Drosophila melanogaster: one gene and its partner. Each later gene encodes a partner of the first gene's protein in a complex. Each region holds a gene or a part of one and is shown in the gene's direction. Other genes may lie near its edges.

The links. Proteins that work in one complex are often made in the same cells at the same time.
Region 2: the proteins of lgs (region 1) and pygo are in contact, whole or in part, in a crystal structure (PDB 3ZPV), measured with the Drosophila melanogaster proteins. Residues at the interface, in NP_651922.1 of Drosophila melanogaster: His322 (codon at 4,666), Ile323 (codon at 4,669), Phe324 (codon at 4,672), Val325 (codon at 4,675), Phe326 (codon at 4,678), Ser327 (codon at 4,681), Thr328 (codon at 4,684), Ala331 (codon at 4,693), Asn332 (codon at 4,696), Ala335 (codon at 4,705), Val338 (codon at 4,714), Leu339 (codon at 4,717), Thr345 (codon at 4,735), Ile346 (codon at 4,738), Ile347 (codon at 4,741); in NP_651872.1 of Drosophila melanogaster: Ser768 (codon at 5,353), Val779 (codon at 5,677), Gly780 (codon at 5,680), Leu781 (codon at 5,683), Thr782 (codon at 5,686), Ala784 (codon at 5,692), Ala785 (codon at 5,695), Met788 (codon at 5,704), Leu789 (codon at 5,707), Glu792 (codon at 5,716), Phe794 (codon at 5,722), Ala795 (codon at 5,725), Glu796 (codon at 5,728), Trp797 (codon at 5,731), Cys798 (codon at 5,734), Val803 (codon at 5,749).

What each region holds. Positions count from the first base shown.
Region 1 is NC_004353.4:437,888-445,835, reverse strand, and holds the start of lgs (legless), read left to right. Parts: upstream 1-1,924; 5' UTR 1,925-2,442; coding exon 2,443-2,623; intron 2,624-2,681; coding exon 2,682-2,972; intron 2,973-3,446; coding exon 3,447-3,656; intron 3,657-4,384; coding exon 4,385-6,388; intron 6,389-6,670; coding exon 6,671-6,861; intron 6,862-6,917; coding exon 6,918-7,948. UniProt on the Drosophila melanogaster protein: Involved in signal transduction through the Wnt pathway.
Region 2 is NT_033777.3:31,575,317-31,582,681, reverse strand, and holds pygo (pygopus), read left to right. Parts: upstream 1-1,982; 5' UTR 1,983-2,729; intron 2,730-2,796; 5' UTR 2,797-3,051; coding exon 3,052-5,378; intron 5,379-5,669; coding exon 5,670-5,790; 3' UTR 5,791-6,847; downstream 6,848-7,365. Other genes in the region: rod (rough deal), read right to left, coding at 1-138, 194-402, 467-666, 727-1,074, 1,164-1,501, 1,564-1,659; gammaCOP (coat protein (coatomer) gamma), read right to left, coding at 7,296-7,365. UniProt on the Drosophila melanogaster protein: Involved in signal transduction through the Wnt pathway.

The sequences.
Region 1 (7,948 bases):
TTATACAGTTAAAATCTTTCAAAAAAGTAACTTTCAACCAAATCCGGAAATAAATTCTCAGTACGATTTTCACAAATTGGTTTACCGTGACACACTGCTCCATTGTTTCCAAATCTTAGCGGAACTTTAAACGTGACAAACTTATTTTGAAACATTAGCATTGACTGTTAAAATTGTGATACGTCACCTGGTTCTGGTTAAGTCAAAACAAATTGAACAAAAATTTCTTGGTGATTAAAAATATTTAAATAAATTTATATCTGTACTCTATTGATTTCCTATTGATATTTTGGAACTAAACCTTGGAACCAATCTTGGAAATTATAATTCTTGCGAACGTTCATGGACAGGAACAGGGCGAGACATTTCATTCCAAAGAAACAGTTGGGAAATGAAAACGCTTTAAGTTCTAATTAAAACAACTACCACTAGACTGAAGCTTAAGAAATAAATGCTTAAGCTAAATGTATTATATAATTTTTATTATCTGCAACATTTTAGTGAATAAACAGTTAATAATTGGAGTACATTCAAATTTGTATGTTGTTCTCAGATAGGTGACTGTGGCATGGATAATAGCATTTTCACACAGATACCAATATATCCGTTAAATTCTTAAAGTGAAAATTTTCAAGTTAATTAAAATTATTATGGATTTTTAAAAGAACTTTTTGAGGCAACACTTACTGGTTAGTAATCTATATAATGTAAGCATTAAATCAAACTTTTAACTTATAAGCATTTTATGGAATCATAAATATTCTTAATTGCTTTTAAATAAATTAAATTTAAATTAATAAATTTTAATAAATTAAAATCTCGCTTAGGTGTTTGCGACTATGGAAAACATGCTTAATATCCTAAGACCAAAAAATTTACAAATTTTTTTTTTTTTAATGCGTATCTTGATTTAGAGATTCAAGACCAAAATATATATATATATATATATTAAATAACATTCAAATCATAGAAGCATTTTAAATTAAATTTAATTTAAATTTAAATTAATAAATTTTAATAAATTAAAATCTCGCTTAGGTGTTTGCGACTATGGAAAACATGCTTAATATCCTAGGACCAAAAAATTTACAAATTTTTTTTTTTTTAATGCGTATCTTGATTTAGAGATTCAAGACCAAAATAGCTGTCATATATATATTAAATAACATTCAAATCATAGAAGCAATACTGTTTTGGGATTTGTCTAAGCAACAAACATTTTTGTTTAAATGAAAACATAATTGCATTTCATTTTTTATTCATGAATTAATGCAAAACAAGAGAAAACTCTTTAGTAGATATCCCCGATATGAGATACCCGCAACTCAGCAAGTTTTTTGTTAAGATAAAATGGGAAAAAAGCTAAAATAGCTTTGACAAATGTGGACGTGTCAGTTTTGGGTGGCTTATGGGTGTTTTGCAGACAAATATAAAGGCAGAAACACACGGAAAGACGGACATAGCCAGATCAACTCATCTATAACTATCCTGATAAAGTACATATATCTTTTACTCCACGTGCAATGGGCTATATTATTTGTGAGAACAACACAACGACGCCGGCTGTTCAGATATTTATAAGAGTTTTGCGATATCCCTGTTATTGAGCAAATATAGATAATAAAAAAGCAATAAACGGAACTAAAACTAAGTTTTTTTTTCCAACCAATGTGAAGAAAATTATTACCTCAAATTACAACGGGGACGACAACCACCCAAGAAAAAATATGTTTTTCCATATATATATGCAAATGCTTCGATTTGTAATTCAAAATAATAAAATATGAGATTGCTGACTGAGCTGCATTGGTCTTGCTTAATAGGGTCTTAAATGAGTAGTGGATGTTTTATGGAATACCCTGGTTATTTATGACTTAAAGCTACCAGATCTGGAATTCTAGTATGAAAGTAATAATTATACCAAATTTGGTTTGTTCGAATTATCGCGGTCTGGTCACATATAAGGGTAGTAATTACATTTTTTATATATTAGATTGCTTCTCTTATTATGCGAGCTGTTTATTCCAAAGTATGTTCGCAATTTTCGACTCCTGCTAACATAACGCACGGTTAAAGCAGGAACATTTGGGCCTATAAGCCCAAAATTTCATTAGCTTAATACGATGCTCCGAAGTGTTATTGCATTTGCACATATACATAAAATTGTGACATAGAATAGGAGAATTCCACATACAAATACAAAAATACAAAATCCTCCAGTAAAATTTAAAACGATATCGTGTTTTGCTTCGCGTATCTCACGTGAGATGTAATCGCATGCATATGAGTGGTGAGTGCCTGCGTGCAGTTCCTGGTCTAAATATGCTTAATTGCGTTCGCCGACTTCAAAAGCAATAAAACGATGGATTTTAATTGCTACTTGAGCAATTAGCCACACAAGGGATCTTGGGAAGGTCGATTTGAAGGAATTCGATTTCTAGGATGCTCTCGACAACAATGCCCCGCAGTCCAACCCAACAACAGCCGCAACCAAACTCCGATGCCTCCTCAACAAGTGCATCTGGATCAAATCCTGGAGCAGCGATCGGAAATGGGGACTCGGCGGCGAGCAGAAGTTCTCCGAAGACCCTTAATAGCGAACCCTTTTCTACTTTGTCGCCGGGTAAGACTTGTATTGATTTCTCTTTGTCCGGAATTATAACAACTTTCTGTGTTTCCAGATCAAATAAAATTGACGCCAGAAGAAGGCACTGAGAAAAGCGGACTATCAACTAGTGATAAAGCTGCCACTGGAGGAGCCCCAGGCAGTGGAAATAATCTGCCCGAGGGACAAACTATGCTAAGGCAGAACTCTACGAGCACAATCAACTCGTGCCTAGTCGCTTCTCCACAAAACTCCAGTGAACACTCGAATAGCAGCAATGTGTCTGCTACAGTGGGCCTTACTCAGATGGTAGATTGTGACGAGCAATCGAAGAAAAACAAATGTAGTGTGAAGGACGAGGAAGCTGGTAAGACTGCCCTACAAATGGTTTAAAATTTTAAAATGTATTGGCGTTCACCTTTGTTAATCATTTAATTGTTTTTTTTTTGCTATACTTACAATTTTAGTTTTAAACTTGTAAACTTGACTAAAACTCGCGAAGCTCGGATCAAAACAGACATTTTCTTGGAACCGTAATTAAGCTCATAAAAATATTAATTCATCTTGATGGAATGCATATCATAGATGTACTCAAACATCTCAAGAAAGACCTCAAATTGGATCAACTAATTAGTTTGAGAAAAAATTGCTGTACTTTTAAGAATATATTAATTTAAAAATTTGCTGAGTGAAATGATATAATAGTCACAATAATTTTTAGTTAAACTGCTAAAGCATTTTGAATAGCCGTGCTACGCAGATGCTACTAGACGCGGTGTAAAAGCTAATTTTTATTTAAAAGCTGTCCTAATATTCCATAACCATTAATGTCCCATTTCAGAAATAAGTTCTAATAAAGCAAAAGGTCAAGCAGCTGGTGGCGGCTGCGAAACAGGTTCTACATCCAGTTTGACTGTCAAGGAAGAACCCACCGATGTCTTAGGCAGTTTAGTAAATATGAAAAAAGAAGAAAGAGAAAATCATTCGCCAACGATGTCCCCTGTTGGTTTTGGTTCAATTGGTAATGCACAGGACAACTCCGCTACACCGGGTAAGTTTTAAGAGATCCATATAAAGCAAATAACAAGAATTAATGTCAGTTACCAATTTTATTTGATAGTCAAAGAACTACTATAGCGATATCTCCTGCCTTTTAATTTTATTTTAATTAGGAAATACGAATATTTCTAATTTGTAAAATAAAATTGATTAATTAACTAGAATTTAAAAACCTTTTGAATTAGGACATACCCTTCCAAAAATCAGTAATCATTGGGAACGAGAGTGTGGTCCCGAAGGAGACTACTATAAAACCTTTTGAGCTATCTGATACTGCACGCTACTAAAAATGATTAGTTTAGGAAAATGGGTGTAATTTTGTAGGAAGTTTTCATTTTAGAAGAAATGTGATTATTTTATTAAACCCCTTCAAGCGGAACTACATTTGTTCTACGATATTTTGGAAAAACAAATGGTTAAGTTGGAAAGTGCCTATAAAACAGAATTCCACGGTTTCAAATACTAACCAGGTTTTTGATTTAATTTTGATTAAATGAGAAATTATCACACTTCAGTTAAAATGTTTAATTCGATTAAGGTCGGACAATCACAGCAGATTTCCATTTTTGCGTGTATATATAGAAGTCGCCTTCACACTCTTCTGGCGCGCTTCACCACTACGTGGAGTTCCGCCCGCAGTGATTTATATAGATGATTTACGAGTTATTTAATTTTTTATGGTGTATTTTAATAAATATCTTATTTATTCATTTTACATAGTTAAAATTGAAAGAATTTCAAACGACAGTACCACGGAAAAAAAAGGATCGTCCTTGACAATGAATAATGACGAAATGAGCATGGAAGGCTGCAATCAGTTGAATCCCGATTTTATCAATGAATCTTTAAATAATCCTGCAATTTCGAGCATATTAGTAAGCGGAGTAGGACCAATACCCGGAATCGGAGTTGGAGCGGGGACGGGAAATTTATTGACTGCCAACGCCAATGGAATCTCCTCGGGTAGCAGTAATTGTTTGGATTACATGCAACAGCAAAATCACATATTCGTGTTTTCAACTCAGCTGGCCAACAAAGGGGCCGAATCAGTTTTAAGCGGTCAATTTCAAACTATTATTGCGTATCACTGCACTCAGCCTGCTACAAAAAGCTTCCTGGAAGACTTTTTTATGAAAAACCCTTTAAAGATTAACAAGTTACAGCGGCACAATTCCGTCGGTATGCCATGGATAGGCATGGGGCAGGTTGGACTAACTCCTCCTAATCCTGTAGCCAAAATAACACAACAGCAGCCACATACAAAGACCGTAGGCCTATTGAAACCCCAATTCAATCAACATGAAAACAGCAAACGTAGTACTGTAAGCGCGCCTAGCAACTCTTTTGTCGACCAGTCTGATCCTATGGGCAACGAAACTGAATTGATGTGCTGGGAAGGCGGATCCTCAAACACCAGTAGGTCTGGACAAAACTCACGAAATCATGTAGACAGTATCAGTACATCCAGCGAGTCACAGGCAATAAAGATACTGGAAGCAGCTGGCGTTGATTTGGGACAGGTCACAAAAGGAAGCGATCCTGGCCTGACAACTGAAAACAACATTGTATCACTGCAAGGAGTTAAGGTTCCAGACGAAAACCTTACACCACAACAGCGGCAACATCGGGAAGAACAGTTGGCAAAAATAAAAAAAATGAATCAATTTCTTTTTCCTGAAAATGAGAATTCAGTAGGAGCTAATGTAAGCTCACAGATAACAAAAATTCCAGGAGATTTAATGATGGGGATGTCGGGTGGCGGAGGCGGATCTATTATAAATCCGACGATGCGACAACTGCATATGCCAGGTAACGCCAAATCGGAGCTCTTATCGGCGACAAGTTCAGGACTTTCGGAAGATGTAATGCATCCAGGGGATGTTATATCAGATATGGGTGCCGTAATAGGATGTAATAATAATCAAAAAACCAGTGTGCAATGTGGATCTGGAGTAGGTGTTGTCACTGGAACAACTGCAGCTGGAGTAAATGTCAATATGCATTGCTCAAGCTCCGGCGCCCCGAATGGCAATATGATGGGAAGCTCTACGGATATGCTAGCCTCGTTTGGCAACACAAGCTGCAACGTCATCGGAACGGCCCCAGATATGTCTAAGGAAGTTTTAAATCAAGATAGCCGAACCCATTCACATCAAGGGGGAGTTGCTCAAATGGAGTGGTCGAAGATTCAACATCAATTTTTCGAAGAACGCCTCAAGGGGGGCAAGCCCAGACAAGTCACTGGAACTGTAGTACCACAACAGCAAACCCCTTCTGGATCTGGTGGAAACTCGTTAAACAACCAGGTGCGACCCCTGCAAGGTCCACCTCCTCCTTACCACTCCATCCAGAGATCTGCGTCAGTACCAATAGCCACTCAATCGCCCAATCCCTCGAGTCCAAACAATCTATCTCTCCCGTCACCGCGGACAACCGCAGCAGTCATGGGATTGCCGACCAACTCTCCTAGCATGGATGGAACAGGATCATTATCTGGATCTGTTCCGCAAGCTAATACTTCGACGGTTCAGGCAGGCACAACAACAGTGCTCTCAGCAAACAAGAACTGTTTTCAGGCAGACACCCCATCGCCGTCAAATCAAAATCGTAGTAGAAATACCGGATCGTCAAGCGTTCTTACGCATAACTTAAGCAGCAACCCAAGTACCCCCTTATCTCATCTATCCCCAAAGGAATTTGAGTCTTTCGGTCAGTCCTCTGCTGGTATGTTATATTTGTTTAATTTTTTTAAAGACAAATCAAATATGAATTGCGTTAATAATAAGTTATATATTACATAACTCGGAAATTTGATAGAAAAAATCAGGAATAGAAAAAATAAATTATTTTCCGGACCGCCCATCCATTTCTTGAATCCAATTTCTGGAGTGATTGTTAGAGATAATCTACTATTAAAATTAAACACGAAAATTCATATCCGGTTAATTGAAAATCACTATTGTTTAATAAGAAATTAAAAATATGTTTATTATAATATTTCTACAGGTGATAACATGAAAAGTAGGCGACCAAGCCCACAGGGTCAGCGGTCACCAGTAAATAGTCTAATAGAGGCAAATAAAGATGTACGATTTGCTGCATCCAGTCCTGGTTTTAACCCGCATCCACATATGCAAAGCAATTCAAATTCAGCATTAAACGCCTATAAAATGGGCTCTACCAATATACAGATGGAGGTAAATATTTAAATATTTTATTTAACGTTTTTGTGTTAATTTATCTTCTTTTTCAGCGTCAAGCATCAGCGCAAGGTGGATCCGTACAATTTAGTCGGCGCTCCGATAATATTCCGCTAAATCCCAATAGTGGCAATCGGCCGCCACCAAACAAGATGACCCAAAACTTCGATCCAATCTCTTCTTTGGCACAAATGTCCCAACAACTAACAAGTTGCGTGTCCAGCATGGGTAGTCCAGCCGGAACTGGTGGTATGACGATGATGGGGGGTCCGGGACCGTCCGACATCAATATTGAGCATGGAATAATTTCGGGACTAGATGGATCAGGAATAGATACCATAAATCAAAATAACTGTCATTCAATGAATGTCGTAATGAACTCAATGGGTCCCCGAATGCTGAATCCTAAAATGTGCGTAGCAGGCGGTCCAAATGGACCGCCTGGCTTTAATCCTAATTCCCCCAATGGTGGATTAAGAGAGAATTCCATAGGGTCTGGCTGTGGCTCAGCAAACTCTTCAAACTTTCAAGGGGTTGTTCCACCTGGTGCCAGAATGATGGGTCGAATGCCAGTCAATTTTGGTTCGAATTTCAATCCGAATATTCAGGTAAAGGCGAGTACCCCAAACACCATACAATACATGCCAGTAAGGGCACAGAACGCCAACAACAATAACAACAATGGAGCTAATAATGTGCGAATGCCACCTAGTCTGGAATTTTTGCAGAGGTACGCTAACCCTCAAATGGGTGCTGTAGGCAATGGGTCGCCAATATGCCCACCATCAGCCAGCGACGGTACTCCTGGAATGCCAGGATTGATGGCGGGACCAGGAGCCGGAGGTATGCTAATGAATTCTTCCGGAGAGCAACACCAGAACAAGATCACAAACAATCCTGGGGCAAGCAATGGTATTAACTTCTTTCAGAATTGCAATCAAATGTCTATTGTTGACGAAGAGGGTGGATTACCCGGCCATGACGGATCAATGAATATTGGTCAACCATCTATGATAAGGGGCATGCGTCCACATGCCATGCGGCCAAATGTAATGGGTGCGCGGATGCCACCCGTTAACAGGCA
Region 2 (7,365 bases), on another chromosome or scaffold:
CTGAGACAGCAGTTGCAGCAAGTCTTGGAATTTAGTGTCCACGTTTTGTGAATTCGAGTTGCAAAGCTCGACCAAAATGCGTTTCGCTTTGGCTTCATAGATGGGCTGGAGGCACAGCTCAAACTGCTTGCCAAATTCCTGTTGCAAATGTTAATGGATAATGAATGACTAAGAGATCAATTATACTCAATACCTCAGCCTCCTCCAGTCGCCCCTTGCAAATCAGCTTCTTAAAACGATCACTGGGGTCGGTCTCGGAAACGAGCATCATCTCCACCACGGAGGGTATGCTGCTCTGGTTGACTTCCTTGGCAGCCAGATAATACAGATTGACCGCACACTTAGGCTGACGCACAAGCCATGCGTGATCAGGAACTTCTACCTCGTTCTTCACATTGAGCGCTGCAATGACACAAGGTTTTTAGCCTTACTGTATGTTTATGTTTTATGTTTGCTGGACTCATACTTGGGTACTCCACTATCTTAATGAAGCGTCCCTCCGCCGTTGATTTCGTCAGCACCAGAAGCTCAATGTTATCTTCGCTGCACTCCATAACCAGCAGATCCTCGATGAGCAGATTTTTTTGTTGGGTAGTTTGACACATGTACACTGTGCGAGTGTATGGACAAATCTCCACCAAGTGGCCGGAATCGGTGAGTGCGATACTGCAAAACCCAGATACACGTTAGAGGGATTCTAGCACCACAATAAGCAAACCCACTCACATATAGTGTTCCAAGTTGAAGATCTGCTTTAGGCTGCCGTACTGAGCGGGCAAATTTATTCGTGTCACGTCATTGGCTGCATTCCTAAAGTTCATAGTGCTTTGATCTCCAGTGATAACTAGACCGGGTTGCGCCTCCAGATCATCCTGATTGTTCTCGGCACTGATGTTGCCGGTCAGCAGCCGCTTGAGCAGCACTGCACAGTCCACGCTGCACGAGGATCTGCCCTTGGAAAGACGTTGAATGGTGACGTCCTCGAGCAGGGCCTTTTCGCAAGCTATAGTTTCGTTTTCATTCAGGCTCATATTGCCTAACGTTTCCAAGCAGGTCTCATCAATGTCGCTTAAGCTACACAGCGTTTGAATCGTTTAATGAAATAATGTCAAGATCCAGTTTTATCACGCATATGCCAGAGCCCATCTCTGTGAATGGCTTACCTATAGATGCTTCCATTCTTACAGGTGAAGTAAAACCGCTGATCCAGTTGATGGATGCTCCGGAAGGTCCCGCCAGTTAGGCTCACGTCCTCCAGATTGACGGCCACGCTGAACAGGAGCAGGCCCTTGATGAACACTCCGTGAACTTCGCCATCGCTGAGGCCGCATACAATCAGGTTGCCGCTTGAAGAAATGGCAATGGCCTCAATGGCTGCCCCGAATGCCAGAAAGCTGCACTTGGCCACCAGTTCGTCCTCCAGGAGCAAAAGGCTCTTGTCGATGCCAATGACCATCTTGCCGCACTGCACGGAGGCCATGACATCTGGATATTTGTTTACCTGACAATGAAAGAAGGCGAGCGTAGAAACCCAACTGCAGATTCTGCACAATAAGGACTCACTTCCTCTTCACTGCTTATTTGGAAGATGCCTCGCGACGAAAATATGTTGGAGATGGTTTCGTCCTCCAGGGAGGACGCCTCGAAGTTGCTCCACATTGCTGTTCAATCCGCTCTAGCCTAATGTGCAAAACCTGCCAATTTTAAACTCTTTATTTAAACACCGCCAATAAACAAGCGTCGCCTGAGAGTTTGCCGATAACATTACCCGCATATCGATAGACGATTGGCGGCATGAAGACACACTACGTATTGACCTTGGGGCTAATACGTTTACGCAATTTATATTTATTACTTAAATGACGTATGTCCAAATCGTAATTTCTCCTTTAAACCTATTACTTTTTAAATGTTAACGTAGTTGCAAACTACTTCGTGCTGGCTTGCTTTGGCCACACTGAGCCGCCGACGGAATTCCGGCATTTCTCTTGACGTGCGCAAACGGTCACACTGGCGGACTTGCAATGAAAATTATTTATATTTCGCTTCTTCGCACGCAAAAATTGGTCAAAATAAACAAAGGTTAATGTGCTGCTGCTATATAACGGTTCAGTGGTCAGTCCGCCGGACCGCCGAATCCGCGTAACGGTAATCCGTGCGTGTGCCGCTCCTATAAACGGCGCTAATTAAAAGTGGATGCTGCAGTGGCCATCAAATCAACAAAAAGCCAACCGAAAACGCAGGCTTCACAAATCGCGTAAACCCTAACACAATTTCCTTGGGAAATAACCGCCGGTTGTTTTGTTTTCCGATTAAAGACAAACGCAAAAAGAACCCGTAAATAAACAACAGTTAAGCGCTGCACTGCAATTAAAACGGAACGGGAAGCGCAGCGGAGGACATAAAATCGCTGGCAAGAAGAAGAGCGCTGCCAGAAAGCGCCCTTTGAAGGGTTTATGAAGGGGAATTAGTGGCAAACCGCAGTGCAGAGTGCTAAAAAAACGAACTCCTGACCTGAAGTGATCAAGGATCAGTAAGAAACTGAGAAGCGGCAGGTGCTTGGCGCTTTGAAACGAGACAACACGACGCTGGGTTTCCAGGGTAGAGTTGCCAACCCGAAAAATAAGCGGGGTTGCCGTTCGTTGCGCCGAAAGTGTTTACCTGCGTTTTGGGAGTCAGTTGCTTTAAAAACGCGATTTTCATAAGGGTCCTGGCCAGGAGATGTCTTGGTGAGTAGTTGAGGAGGACTGACCCACAGGATGCCAGATACTCATTTGGCACCCTTCACACTCCCAGGAACTCAAACTCCAGGCGGTCGCAGGCCGGATAACCGGCAGAAAGCCCAAGCCCACCAAGCATAACCCATTGTAGTTGGTCACCGAAGGATCCAGTGGATTTGTGCCCACCTCCCTAGGGACATCAGAACCAAACCCACTCCTTTACCAGCGTCGAGATCTCCTGCGCGGGATTGGCGACGCCGCTACAACCGAATTTCTTGCCCCACGCCGTTGAAGAAAAGCTGCCACCATTCGGAAGAAGAACACCTCGAATATGACCCACAATCTTGGTATGGCGCCATATCGATTGCCGGGTCCAGCGGGCGGACTCTGTCCGCCCGATTTTAAGCCGCCGCCTCCCACGGACATCATCTCGGCGCCGAGCAATCCGAAGAAGCGGCGAAAAACCTCAAGTGCCGCCAACTCCGCTGCAGCGGTGGCTGCGGCGGCGGCTGCAGCAGCTGCTGCGAATTCCATGCAGCAGCAGCAGGCGCCACCCACACCGCAGGATTTGCTGCCCCCTCCGCCAATGGGAGGCTTCGGAGACACCATTATTGCCTCGAATCCATTCGACGACAGTCCCCAGGTGTCGGCGATGTCCAGCTCAGCGGCCGCGGCGATGGCGGCCATGAATCAGATGGGCGGCGGACCAGGAGGTGGTCACTTTGGCGGCGGTGGACCGGGTGGGCACCCGCACTGGGAAGACCGCATGGGCATGGGCGGTGGACCTCCTCCCCCGCCTCACATGCATCCCCATATGCACCCGCATCATCCAGGCGGACCTATGGGTCACCCACATGGCCCACATCCGCACATGGGTGGTCCACCTCCAATGCGAGGAATGAGCCCCATGCACCCCCATCAAATGGGACCGGGACCAGGCGTCGGACTACCGCCGCATATGAATCACGGAAGGCCAGGGGGACCTGGTGGTCCTGGAGGACCCGTCCCAATGGGTAGTCCCATGGGTGGAATAGCTGGCATGGGCGGCATGAGCCCAATGGGCGGAATGGGAGGCCCCAGCATATCACCCCATCACATGGGCATGGGTGGTCTGTCGCCCATGGGAGGCGGTCCCAACGGACCCAATCCGCGAGCCATGCAGGGTTCACCGATGGGCGGTCCGGGGCAGAACTCGCCAATGAACTCACTGCCTATGGGTTCGCCAATGGGCAATCCAATTGGCAGCCCGTTGGGCCCTCCCTCGGGACCGGGCCCTGGGAATCCCGGCAATACCGGCGGACCACAGCAGCAACAACAACAACCTCCGCAGCCACCGATGAACAACGGGCAGATGGGTCCTCCTCCTCTGCACAGTCCGCTCGGAAACGGACCAACGGGTCATGGCAGTCACATGCCTGGAGGACCAATCCCAGGACCAGGTCCTGGGCCTGGCGGCCTAGTAGGTCCCGGTGGCATCTCCCCCGCGCACGGCAATAACCCGGGTGGTTCTGGGAACAACATGCTCGGCGGGAATCCCGGCGGCGGCAACAGCAACAACAACGGAAGCAATACAAGTAACGCCAGCAACAACAATCAAAATCCTCACCTCTCGCCAGCAGCCGGACGCCTGGGAGTGCCGACGTCGATGCAGTCGAATGGACCTTCGGTATCATCGGTAGCCTCCTCATCGGTTCCCTCGCCCGCCACGCCCACGCTCACGCCCACATCGACGGCCACGTCCATGTCCACGTCAGTGCCTACATCCTCGCCAGCGCCGCCCGCCATGTCACCGCATCACTCGCTAAACAGCGCCGGCCCGAGTCCGGGCATGCCCAACTCGGGACCCAGCCCGCTGCAGTCACCAGCCGGACCCAATGGCCCCAATAACAACAACAGCAATAACAACAACGGACCCATGATGGGCCAGATGATCCCGAACGCAGTTCCTATGCAGCACCAGCAGCACATGGGCGGCGGCCCACCTGGCCACGGGCCCGGACCAATGCCCGGAATGGGCATGAACCAAATGCTGCCACCGCAGCAACCCTCCCATCTTGGTCCCCCGCATCCGAATATGATGAACCACCCGCATCATCCGCACCATCATCCTGGCGGACCACCGCCGCACATGATGGGTGGACCCGGAATGCACGGCGGTCCTGCTGGAATGCCTCCTCATATGGGCGGAGGACCTAATCCGCACATGATGGGCGGTCCGCACGGGAACGCGGGTCCGCACATGGGCCACGGCCACATGGGTGGAGTACCAGGTCCAGGACCCGGACCCGGCGGCATGAACGGACCCCCGCATCCGCACATGTCCCCGCACCACGGACATCCGCATCACCACCACAATCCGATGGGCGGCCCAGGTCCAAATATGTTCGGCGGTGGTGGAGGAGGTCCCATGGGTCCCGGTGGACCGATGGGCAACATGGGGCCCATGGGAGGTGGCCCGATGGGCGGCCCTATGGGCGTAGGTCCCAAGCCGATGACAATGGGCGGCGGGAAGATGTACCCGCCGGGACAGCCAATGGTCTTTAATCCGCAGAACCCGAATGCGCCGCCCATATATCCTTGTGGCATGTGCCACAAGGAGGTGAACGACAACGACGAAGCCGTGTTCTGTGAATCCGGTTGTAACTTTTTCTTTCACAGGTAGGTCGACCAGTTTACAATAGATTAAAAAGGTCAAATAGAAAATATTATATAAATATCTAGGAACAATATTTAGTCCATATCATCATATTTTAAACTGCTTATATCCTGATAATTATCTTTTCGGAACAAAATGTTTAGGAAAGTTTATTGGAATCTCATGAGCAATTAGTCTTATCACTTCTAGTTCAAAGTTAACAGGGGATTACCCTTCAATTAATACATAAAATCAGTCAGGTGTTTTCGTTTATTCATGTTCGTCGTCGACTAACTCCACTATCATTTTTGCAGAACCTGTGTTGGCCTGACAGAGGCGGCCTTCCAAATGCTCAACAAGGAGGTGTTTGCCGAGTGGTGCTGCGACAAGTGCGTGTCTTCCAAGCATATTCCCATGGTCAAGTTCAAGTGTTGAAGCGGATCGGATTTGAAATCAGCAAAACACATCGATCAACCACCAGCGAAAGCGAGAGCAAAGCAAAAGCAACAGCACCAGCTACCCAACCACTCACTGTATAAAATATCCAAGCATTAACTCTATCTTAATTGTAAGACTTAAGCTGCTCAATAGTCAAGACCGCGACCGATCCAGAGACCCACCAGTCCCCATCCCGGCAGCTAAGCCCCGTAGCCAGAATGCGAACCACTAAAGTGCCGGAGCAGTGTTGTGAATTTGAGCTCCGGGCTTCCTGGCCAACTCGCGGCGTGCTCCTGAAACAAATAAGCAAGGCAAACCTTAACGAAAAGTGTAAACGAAATATGTTAATTGTAATATAATTGTAATTTGTGTGTGAGCGTCTGCATGTGAAGCGATCGAAGAGGACAACGTCGCAACAAGAAGACGGAATGAAAGCTGAGAAGCACTCTAGTTTGTATTATAAAAGAAAATGGATAAATCTGAAGAGCAGGCCAGGCGGGATGATGGTGCACATCTCCAATCGAATACCACTCGCCTGGCGAGAAATCCGCATGAAACACAACAGACAACCAACCACTCGTAACTATATAAACATATATCTAATGACATATTCAACACATTTGGAGATGAGTATAGGAGTTGTAACGAAATGAAATTATCATTGTGAAATTGCTGCGAACTGCATGAGTGTGTTATTTGTTATTACGAATCTATATTATTTTTATACTTGTGTGCGTTTACATTTTAAATATTTAATACGGAAGAGCGTTTCGAACGATTGATGGAACTGCATCGTCGATACATTTTACACAAAAATATTCAGCATAGTCGGAATCGGAGAATGTATAATAAGGAATCGATTGCGAACAAAAGCACAAGAAATTATGAATTCATGTGAGAAAGGTTAATTTGTAATTTAAGACGAATGTGGAGGACGCAGCGAACATAAACGATTCAAACGAGAAAAGAAATTTGTAAAAATAGGAAAACAAGAAGTACTCTAGGCTACTGCAACTATAAGTTATTTATAATTAAATAAAATACCATATAAAATAAAGTAAGTTCTAGTTATGAAGCAATTTCTCTTTGGAGGTGCGGTTTCCACGAGCTTGCAATCATTAAAATCATTTCAATGTCCTACTTTAAAAGCACCTGCCAAATAAACGCCTTCAGGTCGGGTTGCATTGCATATACATGTATTTTTAATATTTTGTTTCCATACTTAAGCTAAATGCACAGGCTAAATGGGGATAATAAACATATGCGATGCACACCGAAGGCTGCATCGCCACACAAACTTTTCGGAAATGGCCAGTAGCAATACTCAATGTTGCACATGCCGGATTGTGGACAGGGCTCTAAGATTATTACAGAGACAGTCGCTTAAAGGTACAAATTATATTTTGATTAGGCGTAACTTTCTGTTTCGTAGTTTCGTAGGGAGTTCAGATTACGTTCACAGCACGCAGGAACCAAAGGAGGTTCCTGCATGGCTCGCTGTCTTATCCAATGGCCGCCGTTATCAGCTCCGCCACGTCCTGGTCCGTGCTGCGCACCGTCAGATTGAGCGTG